Linked DNA regions of Mytilus edulis. The protein of the gene in region 1 interacts with the protein of each later gene in a pairwise test. Links are inferred from orthologs where the notes say so. Each region holds a gene or a part of one and is shown in the gene's direction. Other genes may lie near its edges.

Evidence for each region. The genes of interacting proteins can lie anywhere in the genome.
Region 2: the proteins of DNA topoisomerase 3-beta-1-like (region 1) and sprouty-related, EVH1 domain-containing protein 2-like interact in binary tests that used the Homo sapiens proteins (3 or more experiments, as listed by UniProt). The link is inferred for Mytilus edulis from reciprocal best matches to the Homo sapiens genes TOP3B and SPRED2.

Annotation. Positions count from the first base shown.
Region 1 is NC_092350.1:349,249-360,776, forward strand, and holds the start of DNA topoisomerase 3-beta-1-like, read left to right. Parts: upstream 1-7,187; 5' UTR 7,188-7,306; coding exon 7,307-7,546; intron 7,547-11,528. UniProt on the Homo sapiens protein: Releases the supercoiling and torsional tension of DNA introduced during the DNA replication and transcription by transiently cleaving and rejoining one strand of the DNA duplex.
Region 2 is NC_092346.1:68,033,121-68,044,129, reverse strand, and holds the start of sprouty-related, EVH1 domain-containing protein 2-like, read left to right. Parts: upstream 1-6,910; 5' UTR 6,911-7,041; coding exon 7,042-7,064; intron 7,065-11,009. UniProt on the Homo sapiens protein: Negatively regulates Ras signaling pathways and downstream activation of MAP kinases. Recruits and translocates NF1 to the cell membrane, thereby enabling NF1-dependent hydrolysis of active GTP-bound Ras to inactive GDP-bound Ras.

The DNA of each region.
Region 1 (11,528 bases):
CAGTGAACAATTAGGAGGTATAACTAAAAACCAAAATTCCACATAAGACAATCACGTTTTTTTTTCCGATCTAGCGAACAGTTACAGAGGCTTAACAAACAATAAACAGTTTTACATATTACCGACTTTTGACCCCGGGTTCCTCAATTAAAAAATTGAAATTGACAAAATGAGATTAAGGGGGTAGGCCAATTTAAGTTAATTTTGGACCCATTTATAGAGATTTTGACGGGCACCGACTATAGGTGTTGTTGAGGAGATATTGGCGCATCGTTTAGGAAAATTCCAAGAGTGGTTTCTGTTAAAAAATCTAAAGTTACGGTTAAAAAAATGAAATTGTGAAAATGACAAAAAGAAATTAGGGGGGGGGGGGGGGGGTAGCCCAATTTAAGATTATTTTGGACCAATTTAACGAGATTGTGACGGGCAACGACTATATAAATGTTTTCGAATAATTGACATACATAAGATTGACTGACGCTGCGACTAAAATGTTGTTTGAATATTAGAATTATATCACGTGTTAAGGTGGCTCGGGACTATTCGACTGCGCATAATTTCACGCATGAATTACAAAAGTATTTGTCGTAAATTCGATATATTTTTTTTAAATATTTTGATTGATTAGAAATGTTAAATCATTGTAGTTATGTGACTAATAGAATATTTTCGTTATTATCCGTATTTGTTAAAGGGTCAAAATTACATTTCACCAATTTTCACCATTTTCCCGCCAAAATTTGTGTTTTAAGGCAAACAAATTTTTTTTCCTTATCCGTGACCTTTGTTTTTTATTTGCTCATTCTTTGAAGCTATAGTTCAGCTTTTTATATTACAGTTTTGGACCAAGTGTTATAGAACGTTTTTTGATATTCCGATAAAAATATGTCAACACCTCTACTTTCCCTATCATTTCATTGAAAAATGGTCCCTTTTACATACCTGTTTAAAAGTAAAATTTTGAGCTTAAATGGTCCGTGACCCCCTATTTTTTTCGACCAATTTGATTCACTTTCTGTAAAGAATAAAATAACAAAAAATATGGCACTTCTGATAGAAACTTCGAATAGGCCCGAGCCACCTTAAGTTACATTTAGAAATATAAACTCATTTACATGTTCTTTAACGTCTATGTGATTTGCGCAAACAGTAATATTTAATGCAATCACGTTCTTGTCCGCGCCAGCAAGTAACCTGTTATCTAGTAGCTGTTGTTGGTTAGTATCTTCAATTATTTTACAAGAAATCAATCCGTTGGTTTTTTTTTTGTTTTTTTTTTCTTCTTGGACTCATTTTGCCTTACGGAATTAGATTGTTCAATGCTAATGGCCCAACTGTGACCTATATATAATTGTGTAAATCTTCGTCATGTTGTATTAATGAAAAGATGTGTGTACGGGCAGTCATGCTACATCTCCTTAGTTTTATAAAAAAAAATGGTATATGGCTAAATGCCAACAGAAGACTAATGCGTTGGATTTTTTCTTTTTTTCATTTTTAAGAAGGACATCCGACATTAAGTTATTTGACTTTTACTGGAAAAACTATACATGGATACACAATTCATAAACAGTGTTGCTCGCCAGCTCATCAATAGATTATTAAACGCAGGACGTTGGGAAAGTTAGGAGAGCCGACGATCTTGCTTTGGAACTTGCAAAATCTATTTAAACTTATTATGGTGGAAATTTCCGTTAAATTATTAATTATCATTTTATAAATCTTCCAACGAGGGAATATCTGCCATCATAACATTTGTATCATTTCAAAATGGCGTTTTTCAAATATTTGGGGAAACTTAGGGATAAATAGATATAGGAAGATGTGGTATGAGTGCCAATGAGACAACTCTCCATCCAAATAACAATTTATAAAACATTATATGTCAAGGTACGGCCTTCGATGCATCATTTATGGGATATTAAACAGAATATTAGAATATAACTCCTCTAGAAAAATGTGCATAGAATGTAATCGTATATGTTCAACTAGGTTTTATCGTCCATATTCGGCTTGTCATCCTTCTTCTGTGATCATCATTATGTTGTGTCATGTGTACTATTGTTTGTCTGTTTGTCTTTTTCATTTTTAACCATGGCGTTTTCAGTTTATTTTCGATTTATGAGTTTGACTGTCCCTTTGGTATCTTTCGTCCCTCTTTTTAAATCCACACTTCCAATGTGAAGTTGTAATACATTTTAATAATGCTTCCAGTTAACTTGAAAGCTATGTTTTCATGTATAAATTATATTTACTTTAGTTAAAATCATTTAAGATATGAAAGCTGTTGATAATATCTTTCTTCATACCTCATTGACATTGCTTACCAGCTAATTCTGATACTCAAAAAGGCATCTCAGGAACATAAAACATTACGTTTCTGGAACTTAATTGAATAACCAATACATATATTAGGAGCAAATTCAATTTCTGTCCTGTTGCATGACTTTTTGATACTAAGAAAATAAAGATACAAACAGAAAAAGTCCAAAAAATGTACCAAGGTGTGAGTATGAAGATAATTAAAGCTCATATCAACAGTTCAATGACTTGAAGAAGCAAATATGCCTTTACTGCAGTTTTAAATTAAAAGACAATAATCAAAGGCAATTGAAACTTTTAACGTAGTTATTAAATGTAAAAGATTGTAAATATTCTTTCAGTTATAGTAATATACTGGATATTCCACATGAACTCAAAGAGACAACAACCCGACCAAAGAGCAGAAAAGGGGAGACAATTTCAGGGACTTAATTTTCGACTCTGCTTTGACACCATTTGCGAGTATGGTCTTGAGAAACGATGATAGCCCGTCTGAAGGGGACGATAAATATGTTTAAACTAAAGCGCAGACAACAGTTTGATTTAACATTTCGATTTTTGAAGCTTATACTATGTGATTAACTTTGTTATACTGTATAATGTTTTATCAGATTAATGAGATTTTTTTTTAATAACACGTACAGTTAAAAAATCTTATATTTTATTCTTATGCATACATGTAGCATTAGACTGTCACTGTCAGACTGAATTAGAAATAATATCAACTACATGTATAGATATGATTTCATTGCAACAAATGGATGCTCAATAAAATGCACAAGTAAAATAATACAAATAAACCAAATAAAATGATAAATCAAATTATTCAATTAAGACCAGCAATAAAATCCAGCTGGTATATTTTATAATATATTAGGTACAGTGACCCAGTTCTATAATACTGACAATCTTGCCGTTTCTAACTATATATTTTTCGTTTGGGCATGTATTATATTTTCCTTCGGATTTATATGATTCGTTCATCCTATTTCAAAACTTTAAAATTCAAAGAGTCTACACTAAATTGAGGTAAATTATATGGCCTTCCAAATACCGTTTCGATCCCTAACATCACTGAAAAGTACTGCAAGTACCAAGGAAAGTATATATTTACAAAAAGGGCGACATGAATAAATAAACAGCTAGATAAAGAGCTGAATAATTTTATACAAAAAGCAAATACAAGTACCATACAAGAATGCTGGAATGGTTTTAAAGATATATTGTCACACACAGGCTATAATATTAAATATCCCAACTAAAATACTGTCAACCAGAATGTACCTTGGATCAATCGAGAGATCAAACAATGATCAGGAAAAGAACAAAGGGTTTACAACAAGGCAAAACGTACCAATAAAGAAAACACTGGGAAGAATTTAATCCTGAGAAAAACAGTAAAAACTAAATTAGAAGAAGCACATCAAAACTACATATCACAACTATTTGAAGTAGACGAAGAGGGTGAGAGAAAAACACCTGTTGTTGGAAAAAAGTTTTGGCAATATGTTAAATCAAATAAAAGAGACTCCAGTGGAGTAGCACCACTTATTTCAAATGGAAAACTAATGGAAGACAGCAAAGGGAAAGCAGAAGCACTTAACCATTAATTTGTATCTGTTTATACTGATGAAAATACATCAAGTCAACCAAAATTAAATGGCAGCCCATCGCCTGATATAGACCCATCTAGAGATAACAGTAGAAGGAGTAAGAAAGCTACTTAGTAATGTCAATCAGAAAAAAGTCCCAAAGGAATGTGCTACAAGTATCTCGCCATATACATAACAACATTATTCAAGAAAACATATGATGAAGGGGCTGTCCCAAACGATTGGCCGTGGATTACAGCTATCATCACAACACTTTTTGAAAAGGGAGACAAAAGCTTGCGAGTGGATATGCTTATATTAGATTTCAATTTAGCATTTGATGTAGTGCCTCACATACGGCTTCTACGGAAACTAGAGCACTAAGGAATAAATGGCAAAATAATAGATTGGATAAAGGCCTGGCTCACACAACGACATCAGTGTGTATCAGTTGAAGGCGAAACATCTACAAATGCCTTTGTAAAATCGGGAGTACCCCAAGATACAGTTTTAGGTCTATTTATGTTTCTTTTGTACATCAATGATATTGGGGATGACATCAAGTGAAAGTTGCGTCTCTTTGCAGAAAATAGCCTAGTATACCTAGCAATAGACTGCAAAGATGACTGTAACCAACTAAAAAAAGATCTGGATAAATTGATTGACTTTGGTATCTAAATGGCAGATGAAATTTAATGCCTCAAAATGTTATGTTCTAAGAATAACCAACAGGAAAAAACCTACTATATTACATAACTATCACATGCATGGCCAAGTTTTAGAAAATGTAAGTCAAAACCCATATTTAGGAGTTCAGTTTACCAACAACCTGAAATGGGATATATACACATCAACAACATCACGGTAAAAGAAAATAAATCATGAGGCTTTCTGAGGAGAAACATCGGCAAATTCTCAGAAGAAATTAAGAAAAGAGCATATCAAGCCATTGTCAGACCAAACGTCGAATATGCAAGCAGTGCATGGGATCCATATCAAGAAAACCACATCAAACAGATAGAAATGGTGCAAAGAAGATCAGCACGTTTCATCAAACATCAATACAGCAAAGAACCTGGTCAGTTACTAGTCTACTGAAGGAGCTAAAACTACCATCATTAGAAACTAGACGGAAAATATATAAAAGGCTTTGCTTGTTTCACAAAGCTTTACATAAAAAGATAGCCATAAATATTCCAGATTATGTAGAACAACAAGACAGAACAACACGGCAATACCACCAAAGTAAATTTAGAAACCTTCAAACTTCAACAAACACCTTAAAATACAGCATCTTTTCACGTACCATCAAAGACTGGAATACCCTACCAATAAGACCGTTAAATATAGAAGATGCAGAGGCATTCAAGAACAGCCTCACATCTTATTTAACAGAGTAGTCACGCAACAAACATTTGATTTTAATTTCACATGTAAATATGTTTTCAATGAGCACCATATTGAATGACCTAATTGATACTTGCGTGATGGGTCTTAGACACTTTGCATTTCAACGATGTAGATGTAGACACTGAGGAGACATTAATTGTCGAAATCATGCCGAATATGGTGTACAAATTTTTGCACCTCATGTTTGCGGTATACCATCTTCTCCGCAAGTTTACGGACGCCATCACGAGTTTGTTGACCGTTATGGAATAACCGTTTCACAAATGATATCGGATATGTTCCTTACGTCGTAACTACAATCCCCTTCCCTTTCATAAATGTGACCTACCGAATTAGACTATTTACCGGATTTGTTATCTCATAGTGCCACATGTGGAGCAGGATCTGCTTACCCTTCCGGAGCACCTGAGATCACCCCTAAATTTTGGTGGGATTCGTGTAGTTTATTCTTTAGTGTTCTATGTTGTGTCATGTTTACTATTGTTTGTCTGTTTGTCCTTTTCAGTTTTAAGGGAGCTACCATTTGATTTTTATGGGGGGGGCTCGGATGAAATTTGAAAAAAATAGGCAGGACAGGAGTTGTGAGTAAAAAAAAAAGGCAGGATGAGACACTTTGCAAAAAAAAAATGCAGGATGACAATTCTGGGAAAAAAAGTCAGGATAAACTAATAAAAAAAAAAGGCAGGACCGAATAGAGTGAAAAATAAAAAGGCAGGACAGAGATTACAACTAAAAAAAAATGCAGGACAAAATTTTTCATCCTAGCCCCCCCATAAAAATCCAATGGTAGCTCCCTTAGCCACGGCGTTGTCAGTTTATTTCGATTTATGAGTTTGACTGTCCCTCTGGTATCTTTCGTCCCTCTTTTATTATGTTTTGTTTGGTATCAAATTAATAATTAAGATCCATGTTACATCTCGTGATCAATTTATTTAGCAATCGTCAATGGCAGCCAGCAGGGTTTAAGAACATCAGTTGTTCGACCTGTTAGTCGAATGCGTTTTGTTGAAATATACTTTTCACTTTTTTGATTTTTTCGGAATCTGATTATTTTTACAAATTCTACATATTATTCTATAATTTACATCTGATATTTTTGTATCTTCCTGCTTCTATTGCTAATGTGTGTGTTAGTCGAAATTTAGTAATCATATGTCTTTCATCCCTATTTAAATCTAAATATGGTTCAAATTGAAATTGAGATTTGTTAAACAGTTTATATAAACGCAATTTATTTTTCTTACTACCGTTTCTAAAAACAGAAAAAAAATCGTTTTACAAATTTGGATATATTTTAATCTCGATTGTGAAAAAAACAGTTTCCTTAGATTTAAATTCTAATAGTTTGTAAATATCTTTATCAAGATGGCATGAAAAAATTCAAAATTGAGTGGATGTTTCAAGCCATGATAATTTGTCCTCAGTGCTCATGTAACTTGTGTAACTCCGAGCCCCATATCTCACTACCATATAATAAAATGGGCTTTACTCTATGTTCAAAAATATGAAAAACATGTTTTTATCTTTGGTTTTTGATTACCAAATACTTTACAAAGTTCAAAATATGCTTTTAAGCCTTTTTATAGAATGTCTAGCATGAATTTCTAGCTTTCTAGCAAGAAGAAGTTCGTTCAATCATCTGTTTATCTTATCTTCACGCACAGGGGCTTGTTTAGTGGGTCAGACGAGGTTTTACTGTCAATGGCGTTCGCTATCCTATATAAAATACCAAGTATTTTTATATAGGATAGCGATCGCCATTGACAGTTAAACCTCGTCTGACCCACTAAACAATCCCCTGTGCTTCACGGAGCGAATAATCCTTGCACGGATAAGTCAGTTTTATTTTAGGTCTGTCGTCCTAGACGAGATTCGCCACGTTATTTTGTAATTCAATATGTCAGCGCCCATCAGTTTGACACTTGACAATTGAAAAATATTTGGTTTTTCTAGTGCCAGTGCAGTATATTTAAAACGTCAACATGAAGACCGTTCTGATGGTTGCAGAGAAACCGTCTTTAGCCCAGTCGATTGCTAAGCTTTTATCCAATGGTCAGATGAACAGTAGAAAAGGGTCAAATGGAGCTTGTTCTGTCCACGAATACAGAGGTGTTTTTCCTCCAACGGGAGAAAATGTGTTCTTCAAAATGACGTCTGTTTGTGGTCATGTTTATGGTCTTGATTTTGTTGGAAAGTACAATAGCTGGGATAAGGTTGACCCGGTAAATTATTCAGGTTTCAGATGCATTATAAATAAGCTTTATTAAGAGTCGGCAAGGTATACAAACATAGAAACTCTAATGAGCTTTTTTAAAACCGACATTCATGATTTAAGCCTTAGGCTTAGCTAACAGGGTTGTAAACCTCGCGAGATCTCTTTGGGTAATAGAGTCTTTATCAAAGTATTAAAAGTACTCGAAGTAAGGGTGAATGTTTAAGCATAAATTAACTGTTTCAGTGTTAAATTTAACATAATTAATTAAATAATTTGAGTTCATGCATAAATATTTATTTCAATGTCATTTTAATTTTGATTTGTATTATTTGTATAATGAAAAAGAGACATAATTTGATATTGAATTTAAAAAAAACAACATATTAAATAGTTGACACTTAATTAATTGTATCAGATCTAGAGTTCATTTTATTTGATAGTTTCATAATGGGTTTCTATTTAATATACACCTGTGTCAGAGACATAATTTCACAGTGTGACATGTATATTAGGTAAACGGACAGAAAGTCACAGGACAAAAAGTCACAGGACATAAAGTCACAAATTTGATAGGACAAAAAGTCACAGGACAAAAAGTCACAAATAATTTTTAGACAATTGTTTGAATATATAAGAAAAATATCTTAAAATATTTACTTTGTAATACATATATTCATATTAAAGTAAATGATATTTATCATTTTACTTTAAAAATGAAGATTTATTTAATTTTAATCCTGCAAAGGACATATTTCTTGGCACCATGAAGCCATTTAAGTGCCAATCTACTTTGACATTTTGTTTTCTTAGCAATTATTTGATCATCTTTGATATTTTTTTGATAAATTTTGCTTACAAAGTTGGTTAGTATACAATACTTCAAGAAAAATACAAAAATGTTTTTGTAAAAATAAGCTTTTTTTTTTGAAAGAAAATAATCAGAAAAAATGAGTTGTGACTTTTTGTCCTGTGACTTTTTGTCCGTGACTTTTTGTCTGTGACTTTTTGTCCTGTGACTTTCTGTCCTACATTCGTATATTAGGCTTGAATTATTCGATGATCAGGTAAATCACAACCTGTTTAAAAGAGTTTTAATTGACACCTGGTACACAAGAAGTTGTTACACCACAGTGTCCACAATCTTTCCAAAAATACAAAATATAAAATTAATTAATGAGTAGAAAAAAAACTTAATTTGTTTGTTTATTTACCGTTAATCATGATCAACTTTGTCTTATATTCATAATTTTTATAGATCATTAAAAAATTATTACTTTTTGTGTTCATTATTAATTGGGTATGTATTGAGTTGGTTTTTTTTGGGGTTGTCGGTAAATTGTTTTCTAAGTGTGTTTTTCGAAATTTACATTATGAGCTTGCATTGATTTTTTTTTGATTTTTTTATGATTGTCGGTTAATTTATGGTTTCTCCTTTTCACGGATTGTGTATTAAGGACTTACATTTAATCATTTTTGTTAATGATCATTTAATAGAAAATGGCAATATAAGTCTCACTTTTCACCTCGAATGTAAAGAGATTAAACCATAGTTTAAGTGTAAGGAACTGCTAAATATACGATAAAAACTCACAGCAGCAAGTATTGCTGCCTTTTCATGTAACAATTTTTGTAAGAATAAACATTCTACTATTCTATACTTCTGTTAACTTGGCAAGTTGACTTCAAAGCATACATTGTACACCAGTTTAAATGCCATATTGATATCTAAATGTTTTGAAATGTACATGTCTCCCTTCTTTTTAATATACTTTTTGACTAGTTAAAATCTCCTTTTAGTTTTGAAACAGACATGCACATGTGTAAATAGTTTAATAACTACTTGACTTGATTTGTTAGTTAATACCTTTTTCTTTTACTTTATACAAACTGCACGAAAATGTGTCTACCTTTATTGTTGATCAGGCTGATTTAATTGGTGGTTGCCTAACGTCCAGTGGCAAATATTTCACATTTTTTTACATATTGATGTGCGAGTGTATGACATTTCTTTTCTGTACAGTATATGCAATATAATATTTAACTCTCCACAAGAAACCAAATTACACAGACATTAACAACTTTAGGTAACCATAAGGCTCTTAGCAATGAGAAAAATTCATCCCTTGAATATTTTTCGTCACATTTTTCTCAGGAACTACACTACAAGGATTCTGAAATTTGGTTTCAGGCTTGATATAAGTCAACTATACCGTGTGATGCGTTTTCAGATTCATCACTCAACAACTTCCTGTTTACCGAACACTTGTTTGATTTTACACATGATAGCCAAGTTGAAAATTTTTCGTCACATTTTTCTCAGGAACTACAATACAAGGATTTCTGAAATTTGGTTTAAGGGTTAATATAAGTCAGCTATACTGTGTGATGCGTTTTCAGATTCATCACTCGACAACTTCCTGTTTACCGAACACTTGCATATTTTTACACAATTAATATTATCCACTTGCGGCGGGGGTATCATCAGTGAGCAGTAGCTCGCAGTTTCACTTGTACATGTTGTGACATTATTTAAGTTTGTCGTCCTATTCAATGTAAACAAAGAAATGCTGAGTGTCATCAGGTAATGTTTTTTTTTTACAACAAACAATTTTTAAAAATGAATTAGTATTAAGTTCCTTTCTTAGACTGATAAATATACAATTTATTCAAAGTCTCATGCAAACAAGACCAGAAACAGAAGTAGATTTCTGCACAGATCCCGAAATTCAAAAATGCGACAAAAAAATTTTTGAACGATTTTGAGTACAATGAAAAATTCGGGAAATTTTGTTGATTTTTTTTTTATATTATTGAATTTTCTACTGTAATAGGGGACTTCGTCCCTATAATATATAGAAAGAAAAACATCTACTGATTCTGTTCACATGCGTGATCACATGAGTTTGAAATCAATAACAGGGTTAAAATATACCAAACTGGACTATCACAGTAGAGCTTCTCTCAAACTTATTGAAAAGTCCAGAGAACTCCGAAAATAATGTTAACCTATAAAAAAATTCATAGATGAATGATAGGTCCACCACCGAAATGGAGAAACTTGAATTTAGTGCTCCTTTAAAGGAGGAACTTGAATAAAAACAAAACAATTCCAAAATCTTTCCTTTACACATGACAGACATTTCGTCTGCAATCATTGCTGAAGTAATTGAAGTAAAATCTAAAATTGTGCATCATATTATCCTCTGGAAATGTGTTTGAGATTAAGATAAATGTATGTTTTATCAATCTAAAAAAGAAGATGTGGTATGATTGCCAATGAGACAACTATCCACAAAAGACCAAAATGACACAGACATTAACAACTATAGGTCACCGTACGGCCTTCAACAATGAGCAAAGCCCATACCGCATAGTCAGCTATAATAGGCCCCGATAAGACAATGTAAAACAATTCAGACTGTTGTCATTGATTTCTTCTGCAAGATAAAGTAATAAAGTGTTGTTCGGAATTGCGTCCATATATATGGCTCACTTGACCCGTAAAACAAGGTCACACAATCTTAGTAAAGTTATCCTAAAGTGAATAAAAAATTATATGGGATATGATGCAAAATGGAAAGCCTTCATATGTCTTAAATTCTATGATATAAACAATTCAAAAAAAGTAGTTTACATAAATAAAATATTAATCACAGTTTAAAGATCGTTTGTAATTGTGTCCAGTGAGGCTATACTTAAGTCAAAACATAAATGTTGATGACGATGAATGATTGAATTCTAAATAGATAAATCATGTTAATGGGGATGTTCTTTTGGTCATGTTGGGTAAATTTCCATAGAAATTTTAAATAACAGGCATGACAGGTGTTTGATTTGAATATTAATAGAAGAATTTCTAAGTTGGACTAACTTATGTCTAAGTAATTCCTTATTTTACAATTTTTGCAAATAATATGTTTAAACTTTACTACAGTCATGGAATTCCTTTGTTGACAATACTTGTGCAACACATTAAAGATCTTAAATCA
Region 2 (11,009 bases), on another chromosome or scaffold:
TAAAATTATATATCGTATATTGGTTTTTTTTCTTTTGCCGTTGGATGGACTTGTTCGGTGTGATCTAAGGGCGTATATTGTAAACATTAATAACTTCAGTCTGGATTTGATGTTAAACTTCAGAATAGACATCGAACATGATATGAACTTATGTGAAATGATTTTTTTTTTTAATTTACAGCTGTGATTTAAACTTATTTATAAAATAATACATTTTTAAGTGACCACTTACGAGTATATAGCTTTATGTCTTTCCATATTGTCCTACAGGATAGACTTTACTTACGGTCTGTTTGTTGTTGGGATGTACAAGTAACCGTTCACGTCCAAATATTTTTGTTATCTGTATTTCTATTTGTATCTACCTGATGAGTCAGGTCTTTTTCAACTTATTTTTATAGTTCGTTCTTATGTTGTACTGTTACACCACTGTCCCAGGTTAGGGGGTCCCACTATAACATGTTTAACCCCGCGACATTCTATATGTATGTGCCTGTCCAAAGTCCGGAGCCTGTAATTCAGTGGTTGTCGTTTGTTGATCCATCTGTTACATATTTGTTTTTCGTTCATTTTTTTGTAAATAATTTTTCTCGTTTGAATTGTTTTACATTTGTGATTTCGGGACCTTTTATAGCTGACTACACGGTATGTGCTTTGCTCATTAGTGAAAGCCGTACGGTGACCTATTGTATCAATGGCAATCAAACCAAATCTTTTTTTTTATATAGAATGAAATTCAAAACAGTGTAGCTGTGGCCATTGATTGACACATTAAAATCATCCATTGACTGGGACAATTTACGTGAACGTTTGTCTGTAACGACCACTGTTCACGACGTACCTACGATAGACATTTAAACTGTGGGGTCACCAAAGGTTTCTTAACGCCTTTAATTATAAAATAATTCGAAAAATTAATCAGGAATAACCTTTGTGTTTTGATTTAAATCAAAATATCGTGCTATTTCTGAAAAAAATTTTCGAATTACTTTATTTAGGTGTTGAGAACCTTTGGTGACCCCATAGTTTAAGTGTCTTTAAAAAGTACATAGTGAGCATTGGTCGTTACATACAAACGTTCACCTAAATTGTCCCAGTCAATGGATGATTTTAATGTGTCAATCAATGGCCACAGCTACACTGTTTTGAATTTCATTCTCTATATATATATATACGATCATATACCCATAGACGGCTTTACAGTGTCGTCATTATCTATAACATTATAGGCGGAAGATGCAAAAGGGATATTCAAACCGTCATAAGTCGATGAAAAACTGGAAAATCCATACCAAACACGTTAAACGACCAAAAGGTAAACAGCAGTGTACAGGAAACAACATAAATAACTAAAGCGGTCCGAGTAGCACGAACCCAGCAAAAGACCGGGTAAACTCATGTGCTTTGAAACGTTAAATAGATCCTGCCCATATTCTAGATCTGTCACAGGTTATGGACAAGAAATTTGTCAGACAGACTGCAATGCGTCATTACAATCGGGCTAGATTTAAATAAACAGTGGGGGTTTAGCATGTTTAATCCAATGGCTGATTTTGGTTATTTATAAAAAAAAAAAAGAAAAAAAAAAGGAGAAGATATGGGATAATTGCCAATGAGACAACTCTTCACAGACGACTAAATGACACAGAAATGTACAACTATCGGTGTGTATGTCATTCACTGGGGTAAAGCTGATGACCGTAACTGCATTCACGGTCATCCCAAGATGTCGGATGAAAAATTAGGTCAGTTTCTGTATTGTCTGTTAAAGTGTTTCAATATCATTTTCTTTACAAATCATACATTGAAACGATGTAAATTTATAAAAGAATCACTCGGAAATCACTAATTACTTCTGAGAAATGTGCATGAAACGGGAAATTCGATTTGAAAAAATCGCCAAGATGACCGTAAATCACAATCGAGATGACCGTAACAGAATCAGCGATTCATAACAAGGCTGACCGTAACTGCTATTAAGATGACCGTAATTTGTAAATGATGACCGTAACTTTTAAAGGATGACCCTCAATTCTAAGAAATATCCGTAATTATATAACTATCTTTTTGTATCAAATGATTGCCAAAAGACATGCAAATGAACAGGAAGAGAAAACATGCCACAAAAGCGCGAAAATGACACCTTACAAGCATAATAAAAAAAAATGGGGTGCACAGCTTCAACTGCTCGACAAAAGATTTTTGTTTGTTTCTGGGATTCCTTTTAATGACATATAATAAATACACATTTTTAAAAATGCCAAAAAATTGCATGTACACCCATTGATATTATATAGTCTTTCATTTTGTCGTGCAAATAAAATAACAGAAATATTTTGAAAATATCATTCGAATAAACTAGTGAAGGTGAGCTCCAGCAAAGTAGATCCTTAAAATAGTATTGTACGAAAAGCGTATCACAAGGCGGAACGTTGTCAATTTGTATATATACAGAAATGTTATTCATACAGTCAGGATTCTACTTCTTCAAAATTATCTCTCCATTGCGCCAGTTCATGCTCACAATCGTAGAAATGGAAGCCATTGTAGGGATGACGCTCTGCCAATTTTGCTCTTGAAAACTGATAAATTTATCCACATAGCACCATTATGTCAGTTATATTTTAAAAGACAAATGTATCTACTAGCTAATGAGCATTAGTTAATGATCTTGTCTGCATTGATTCAACTTAAAAATATTGTCTGTTCGGATGTCAGATGAAATTTTTGAAAATTCTTAAGCATTTAAAAAAATTCTAATTAAATATTTCGTGGAAGGGCAGACTAAACATTTTCAGTGGTTGAAGATTATAAACCCTAATTATCACACACAAGAAAATCAAATTTTTTCGAAGATATCCATTTTCATCATCCAAATTAAAAGACTGTCGTCAAGTACTTTTAGAAAAAATAGCTATTCGAACACACCTTCTCTGTTTTTGTGATTCATTAGATAGGTATCTCACTTGACCCATATATTTCATCTTTTCGTACTGTCATTTTTTTACGTTATAAAGTCAACCTGTAGCTTTGATATATAATAATGATAGAATCTGAAGCGAGATGCTATATAAAATACTCTTGCTTTGTACGTTTTAAAGACAAAATATACACCCCAAACATGCCTTAACATAAAAAAGGTGCACTCGATTTTTCTCTTTTCGATACAATCGTTACCTGTTTTGGGGAATTTTTTCTTGATTCACATAATGGAAGGGCAGACACGAAAATTTCTGAACTAAAAGATTGATATGTTCTCCGTCCGTGATAAAAAAAAATCGGAGGTTATTTTCTACATCCAACTTTAGATACTATATATAAAAAAAGAAGATGTGGTATTATTGCCAATGAGACAACTATCCAGAAAAGACCAAAATGACACAAACATTAACAACTATAGGTAACCGTAAGGCCTTCAACAATGAGCAAAGCCCATACCGCATAGTCAGCTATAAAAGGCCCCGATAAGAACCATGTCGTCGACTTGATATCTTATTGTTTTGCATTACTATGTAATAGATATATTGAAAACTTATGCAAATGGTGTTTTTAAGATAAGAAAATTGTCGTTTTATTTGTTTCTATTAACTTTTTAAAATTTTGTTACTATATCAAACATTACAGTTAACATTTATCGCTTTCTCGATAAACACAGAGCTTCGATTCTTTTGTTCTATTTCAAAAGTGTTTCCGCCTGCATATATCAAGTCAAATTAAGATTTTAATCTGCTTCCTCTGGAACCATACACATGGGCTCGATTACCAAATATTCGTATGTATTATTAATGTTTTTAATGCTCCATTTATTGGCATTATGTTTTTCTGGTCTGTGCGTACCTTCGTCCGTTCGTCTGTTTGTTTGTCCGTTTGTCCAGCTTCAAGTTAAAAATAATTAAAACTTAGTACACATTTTCCCCATGGTATGATCTTTTAAATTCTAAAGCCAAATTACAGTTTTATCCCATTTTCATAGTCCACTAAACATAGAAAATGATAGTGTAGATGAGGCATCCGTGTACTAGGGACACATTCATGTTTCTTCAAATTTTCGTCGTATCGCTGTCAATTTGTGTTAAAATCTTAACGTCGATATCAATAAATATTTCATTGTTTACGAGAAATATGCAATTTACTATCATTGTTATAAATCCTAAATATGGCTAATTATATTATAGTTCAAAACAAGAGGCTGTCACAACGACAGCAAACCGGATTTATTAATATTTATTTGTGTCCTGGCAATATCACAAGAACCATTACTGATGAATGGTGAAAGTGAAAATCGTCAATATCAAATTTGACATCAATTTTGTCATCAGTATCAACATCTTAAAATTTGAAAAGCTTAGATTGAATGGTTCATGAGTAAATGTAACAACGTGAATGGAAACGCCATTTCACAATCTTTCAAGAACCATAACTCCTGAACGGTAAAAGTCAAAATCGTCATTATTGAACTTGACCTCCATTTTGTCATCAGTAACAACATATTAAAATTTGGGAAGCTTAGGTAGAACATTTCATGCGTAAATACACGGACACGACTGGAAACTCCATTTTTCAATCTTTCAAGAACCATAACTCCTGAACGGTAAAAGTCAAAATCGCCATTATTGAACTTGGCCTTCATTTAGTTGTTAGTAACATTATATTAAAATTTTAAAAGCTTTGGTTGAACGGTTCATGAGTTAATGCACGGACAACATTTGATCGCCGCCCGCCCGCCCGCCGTACATCCCCAAATCAATAACCGACATTTTTGTCACAAAAATCCGGTTAAAAAGAAATTTATGAAACATATTTATATCCGCTAACCGAGCCCTTATTGAGATCGACAAACTCAACAAAAAAGCTTTGAATACAATACGGATATTTCTTAGAATTGATGGTCATCCTATAAAAGTTATGGTCGTCCTATATAAATTACAGTCAGTCTTTACAAATTACGATCATCCTTTACAAGTTACGGTCATCTTTTTACCAATTACGGTCATCCTTGTTTTATGTTACGGTCATCTTGAAAATATTTTGATTATGATTTACGGTCATCTTAACGATTTTTTCAAATCGAATTTCCCGTTTCATGCACATTTCTCGGAAGTAATTAGTGATTTTCGAGTGATTCTTTTATAAATTTACATCGTTTCAATGTATGATTTTTAAAGAAAATGATATAGAAACACTTTAACAGACAATACAGAAACTGACCTAATTTTTCATCCGACATCTTGGGATGACCGTGAATGCAGTTACGGTCATCAGCTTTACCCCAGTGTCATTAAAGGTATTGTATAAATTATGCCGCTGATTTTTCTCCTTGTATTTATCCCGGGACCTTTTAATGTATAATTACTACACGCTATGGGATTTTGTCTTATGTCCTTTGATTGGTTGATTATTTCTAGCTTTATGTCCAGTGGCAAATATCCCATGCATCTTTATGACGTTGTTGCTTTACTGTCTGCTATTAAAGATGTGGTATTTTTTTCTCTTTGTCATTAACCCGGAACATTTTTTGGTATAATTACTACACGGTATTAGATTTTGTTTACTGTCCTTTGATTGGCATGCAATATGGTTGACTATTTCTAGCTTTATGTCCAGTGGAAAATATCCCATGCCTCTTTCTTACGTCGTTGATTTACTTTATGCTATTAAAGATGTGGTATATTAGGCCGCTGGTTTCTCTCTTTGTCCGTATCCGGGTTTTTTTTTATGTATATATATCTAACTATACAGTATGGAGTTTTGATCACTGTTCTTTGATTAATTGGATTATTGTTCGCTGTATGTCAAGTGGCAAATATCCCATGCATATTCAGAATGAGAACAACTATAATACAATAGGTTTAAGTTTTGCAGGATTAATGATGCAGAATATTGACTGACCACTAGAAAATTGTCAGCTGTCTAATTTGCAATCATACCGCGGTCACATCGATATCATTATATTTCAAGTTTCATTTTTACATATATATTTGCCAACACTGTCATCATTTAATAGCCTTAGACAGTAATCACTGGTTGAAGTTTCAAAGGTTATTTCTGCATTCCGTCCATTTTTTATGATACGGGAAAATATAAGAAGATAACCTAACCAAATGTTGTATGGTAATCATTGTAATCATTGAGAAGCGGACATGACCCACTTTCAAGATTCAGAATTGGACACCTCCATCTCCCTCATTAAGTTATTTTCCTTTGAATAGTAACTTTCAAAAATCACATGTCCTAAAATATGACCTATAAAGGTAATATGTGTGCGTTTTGTAATTTATTCTAATTTTAACGAAACTAAGATCGTGTGTTGGTCATCAATCAATGTATGTGAATGAACGTTACACGCGATGTCGGCCAGATAAATTCATTCATAAATATTTGCAAAACAATAAACATTGTTTGATAGGCGTGTCCTAGTATCATTTACGTGACGTCACGTGTATGACAATAGTAATACACTTGACACTCGATGATTGACATTAATTTACATCTTAATTTTGATTGGTCAACATGGTCAGTAAATAATTTACATAAGAAATATCAATGTGGCAACTGAATAAACTTAAAAAATTATCTTGCACATTTCGCCATAAGAAAGATTTCAAGTTTCGATTAGGACACTTAGTTTTTAAGTTTTTACAATATAACAAAAAAATATAGTTGTCCGATATTAGGTTACAGGGTTTAAAAAAAGTTACAAATGAAATAGTCCCTTGCACTGTACTTGAACTATCGAGTAGCCATGTTGGCTTTTAAAATTATTCCGCTACTATTAATGCATATATTTTGAAAAAGAAAAGTTAACTGCATATAATTGCACATTTCATCCCACAGTTGGTATATGATATGAAAAATATGTAATATAATCATTGATTTTGATATGATTTGCCAATAATGGTATGTCTTGAAACTATTTTTAATGCGGATGTAGCGCACTTATAACATTGCTGTCCAAAGCATTTCCTGTCTAAATCTGAGACAATATCAGCCAGTGTTTTGTACAAAATGTACACACTGTAACTTCGAAATGGATCAAGGAAGATGACCGAAGATATTAAACAGAAGTAAGTTATTGTATGGATCTTTCAAATTTATGCCATTTTATTCGAAACGGTAAAATCATGTATGAATTCTTCGACCGTCTTCGCTCTTGCTGCACACATCATGATCATGGAGGCGGTTATGATTTCAACATGTATTTTTACATAGACAAAAGTTCCATCAGTTCGAATTTACCATTCTGTATTCCTTAAGATAAGAAATTAATGCACAGACATATAACTTTTCCATATACAACTGCCATTGAGAGAATTCTGATCAATGAAATTCTTCACTTGTTTCGGTTGACATGGATTCATTCATAAAATGTAATGAATGACATGGTCAGGATTTCCATTTTTTACCATAATTAATCTGAAGAACATTTCTTAGACAGTGTCAGAAGTAACTGCTTGCTTCCAAATTTACATTTCACCCATTTAAAGAAGAACAGTGTGTAAATACATATAGATAATATTTCAAAATAAAAGAAATACATAAATAGATTTTACAAGTTTTTTGTTGAGTATGTAAGTCTTTTATGTTTTTACTGTAAAATGATTATGTTTGAAGTATGCTACTTATTTAGTGCTAAAATTCATGAAATAACATTTTTAATTGAAAAAAAACTAAATATTCTCAGTAGGCACTTCAATTTTAGTAAAAATATATTGGAGTTCTGGACACTCGATGTAAATTAAAACCTCCTAACTAGTCCAAATAATTATGACGTCTTGAAAGGCTATTATAATTTTTTTCTTTGACGCCTTACTTCAACGTCAAAGAAAAAAATTATAATAGCCTTTCAAGACGTCATAATTATTTGGACTACCTCCTAACCAAACTGAAGTTCCTGGAAACTGATGTAAACAATTTTAACACATCAGCTCCTGTTTTAATAAATATTCTATAATCTTTATTCTGTCTGACAAGAACAAATTTATAGAATATTACTACTAAATGTATTTGACAATATTTGATAAAATAATAACATGATTAGGAAAAGTTATTTAAAGTCTGCATATTATATGATCATATTATTTAAACAATCACAACATGAGCTGGAATAACCAATGATCACATAAGATCATGGAGTTTCATGCAATAACAAAAATAAATAAAAGTGTATGTAATTATAAGAAAGAATCATACTTGATTTCTGAACCTGCGCCGTCAATATACTACCTCTGTGCACTAACTTAAGTGACCATCAATCACCAAAATAACATCTTAAAAATTCAAATTACATTTTTGCCCCTCCTCCCAAAACCACTTTAAATTCATTAATAAATTAAAAGAAGTCATTGTTCTGGTACACATTTAATACAGGGTTCTCACTGAGGCTAGACAATGCGTCCTTAAGTCATGAAAACCTCTGGTTGATACTTTTCAAAAGCTGACATGGCTTGTATGCTTAAAATTGTAAAACCTTGTATCAACTGAGCACATTTATCGTCCTATTACATTGTACATTACCAGGATTGACATAATTCTGTACAAAGCAAGAAAAAAAATTATTGACTCGACAAATTGTATTCTTTGCTCAATTTTAGTTTAACTTCATAGTTATACATTTGAACATACAAATGTAGATTCTGCCTAACTCAAAACATGAATTTAGCAAGTTACTTGCACCATTATTTTAGTTTTTGACCAAATTATTTAACAAATTTTCAATGTTAACAGTGTAAGATGGGGACAGGGACAAAGAAAAGTGACTTTCCTATCTTTTATTTTTCCTCTCATGATTAAACAAATATTTTTGATACAAGTATCATATGAAGATGAATTTAATATATTTTTTACCCTTAAAAGAAAATCATTACTACATGTACCACTGCATCTGCTTATCTGTTTTATGTTTTATATTTTATAATATGTTTATAATATGTTTATATCGGGATATTCAAAACAACAAAAAGTAGCACCATGGCCACTATACATTCTATTATAAAATCATCCAAGATAGCTCTAGGGTACCACAGTGCTTTAATGCCCTGGGAAGAACACGGACGTGTACATCATAAGTCACTGCTTCAACTTCCAACTTCAATAAGGTTACTATTGACATCCACAACTGTCTCCTGATTGAACCTTAATGTTTGTGACAGTCAATTGCAAACGTCTTGTCAAAAAATATTACATAAATAGCATTTGATATCATATAATTAGTCTACTTTATCTTTTTTGCTATCTTATTAAGTTTAAATAAGTGATAATATTAAACAAAATCAATTAAAAAAGTTATAACATTGGAAATTCATTGACTGCTGTACCCATATTTTGACTAGCTTACTTATTATGTCTGTTTTGTTCACGCATCACATCATTGTAAATATGATGGAATTTGATGTGACTGTCATACAAATGAGAGGCTTAGCGCTAAAAAACATTCAATCCACCATTTTCTACGTTTGAAAATGCCTATACCAAGTCAGGAATATGACAGTTGTTGTCCATTCGTTTGATGTGTTTTTTTCATTTGATTTTGCCATTTGTTTAAGGACTTTCGGTTTTGAATTTTCCTCAGAGTTTAGTATTTTTATGATTTTACTTTTCACATCATGCACATAAAACAACCAAACAAATATCAAATATAAGAGTTACTCTGAATCTGATCAGACATAGATAAAAATTATTTTTTCTTAGATATTGGCTAGAATGGAGAGAAAAATTTGTCCCTTAATGAAGATTTTGTTTGTCCGTCAAAGACTACACCTCCAAATAGATTCAGGGTAAAAGATGTGAAAAAAACAGTTCAAGTAAACTACATTGTAGGGTAGAATACTTGATACAGTCAAATAGACCACAAATCAAAAATAATTTACATGAAACATGATTCTGTATTTTTGAATTCATATACAATGTACATGAATATATATTTATCTCTTGATAAAATGAGCTTTGGTTCTGAAGAGACAATATTTATAAATCTTCCAACATTATTTAACATACAAATTTACAATGTATATATTATGGATAACTATTTAGGTACATGTATACTATTTCATTTACATGTATACTATTTCATATACATGTACTGTGGATTCATTATTTTCTGTTGGATACCAATTTTTGTGGGTACAGGTGATCACGAATATAAAAGTTCAAAGAACTGCAAATGTTCTATCCAGTTATAAGCAGACTTTTGCGAAAACTGCAAAAAAGTAAGTTTTCTACAATCCACAACCAGGTGCTCCGCAGGGTGCAGCTTTATACGACCCCAGTGGTCAAACCCTGAACAGTTGGGGCAAATTTGTACACAATATTTAAGCTTGATACTGTCTGAATTTGGATTGTGATAAAAATTTTGACATAATAAAGGTTTTTTGTCACAAAATAAATGTGGGCAAAGATCTAACAAGATCTGTGCAGTTAAAGATTTCCTCTTGAAACTTTTCAAAATTCGAAATTTGAAAAATTTTGAAAATAAAAGGAATCCCTTAAAAAATGGTAAACAAACCCCCCCCCCAAAACTTATTGAAACCCCCCTTAGAGCAATAACCCTTAAACTCAATCCCATGCTTTCTTTTGTAGTATTGAACCTTGTACAATTTCAGAGAGATCCATACACTTAAAATACAAGTTATTGTTATGATTGTTTCGAAACGAGAAACATGCTTCTTTGGCCAGTTTTTTGGCCCCCAATTCCTACATGTTTTGGGCAATTAACCCAAAACTTAATCCCAGCCTCCCCTTTGTTATATGGTACATTGTGGTACAATTTCAGAGAGATCCATACAAATACACACAAGTTATTGTCTGGAAACTAGAAAAATGCTTGTTTTGGCCCCTTTTTGGCCCTTAATTCCTAAACTTTGGCCCCATAACCCCTTAAATGAATTCAAACCTTCTACTTGTGGTTTTAAACATTGTGGTATAGTTTCAGAGCAATTGAAATACTTGTACACAAGTTATTATCCTGAAACTAGAAAAATGTTTGTTTTGGGCCCCTAATTCCTAAAGGGTTG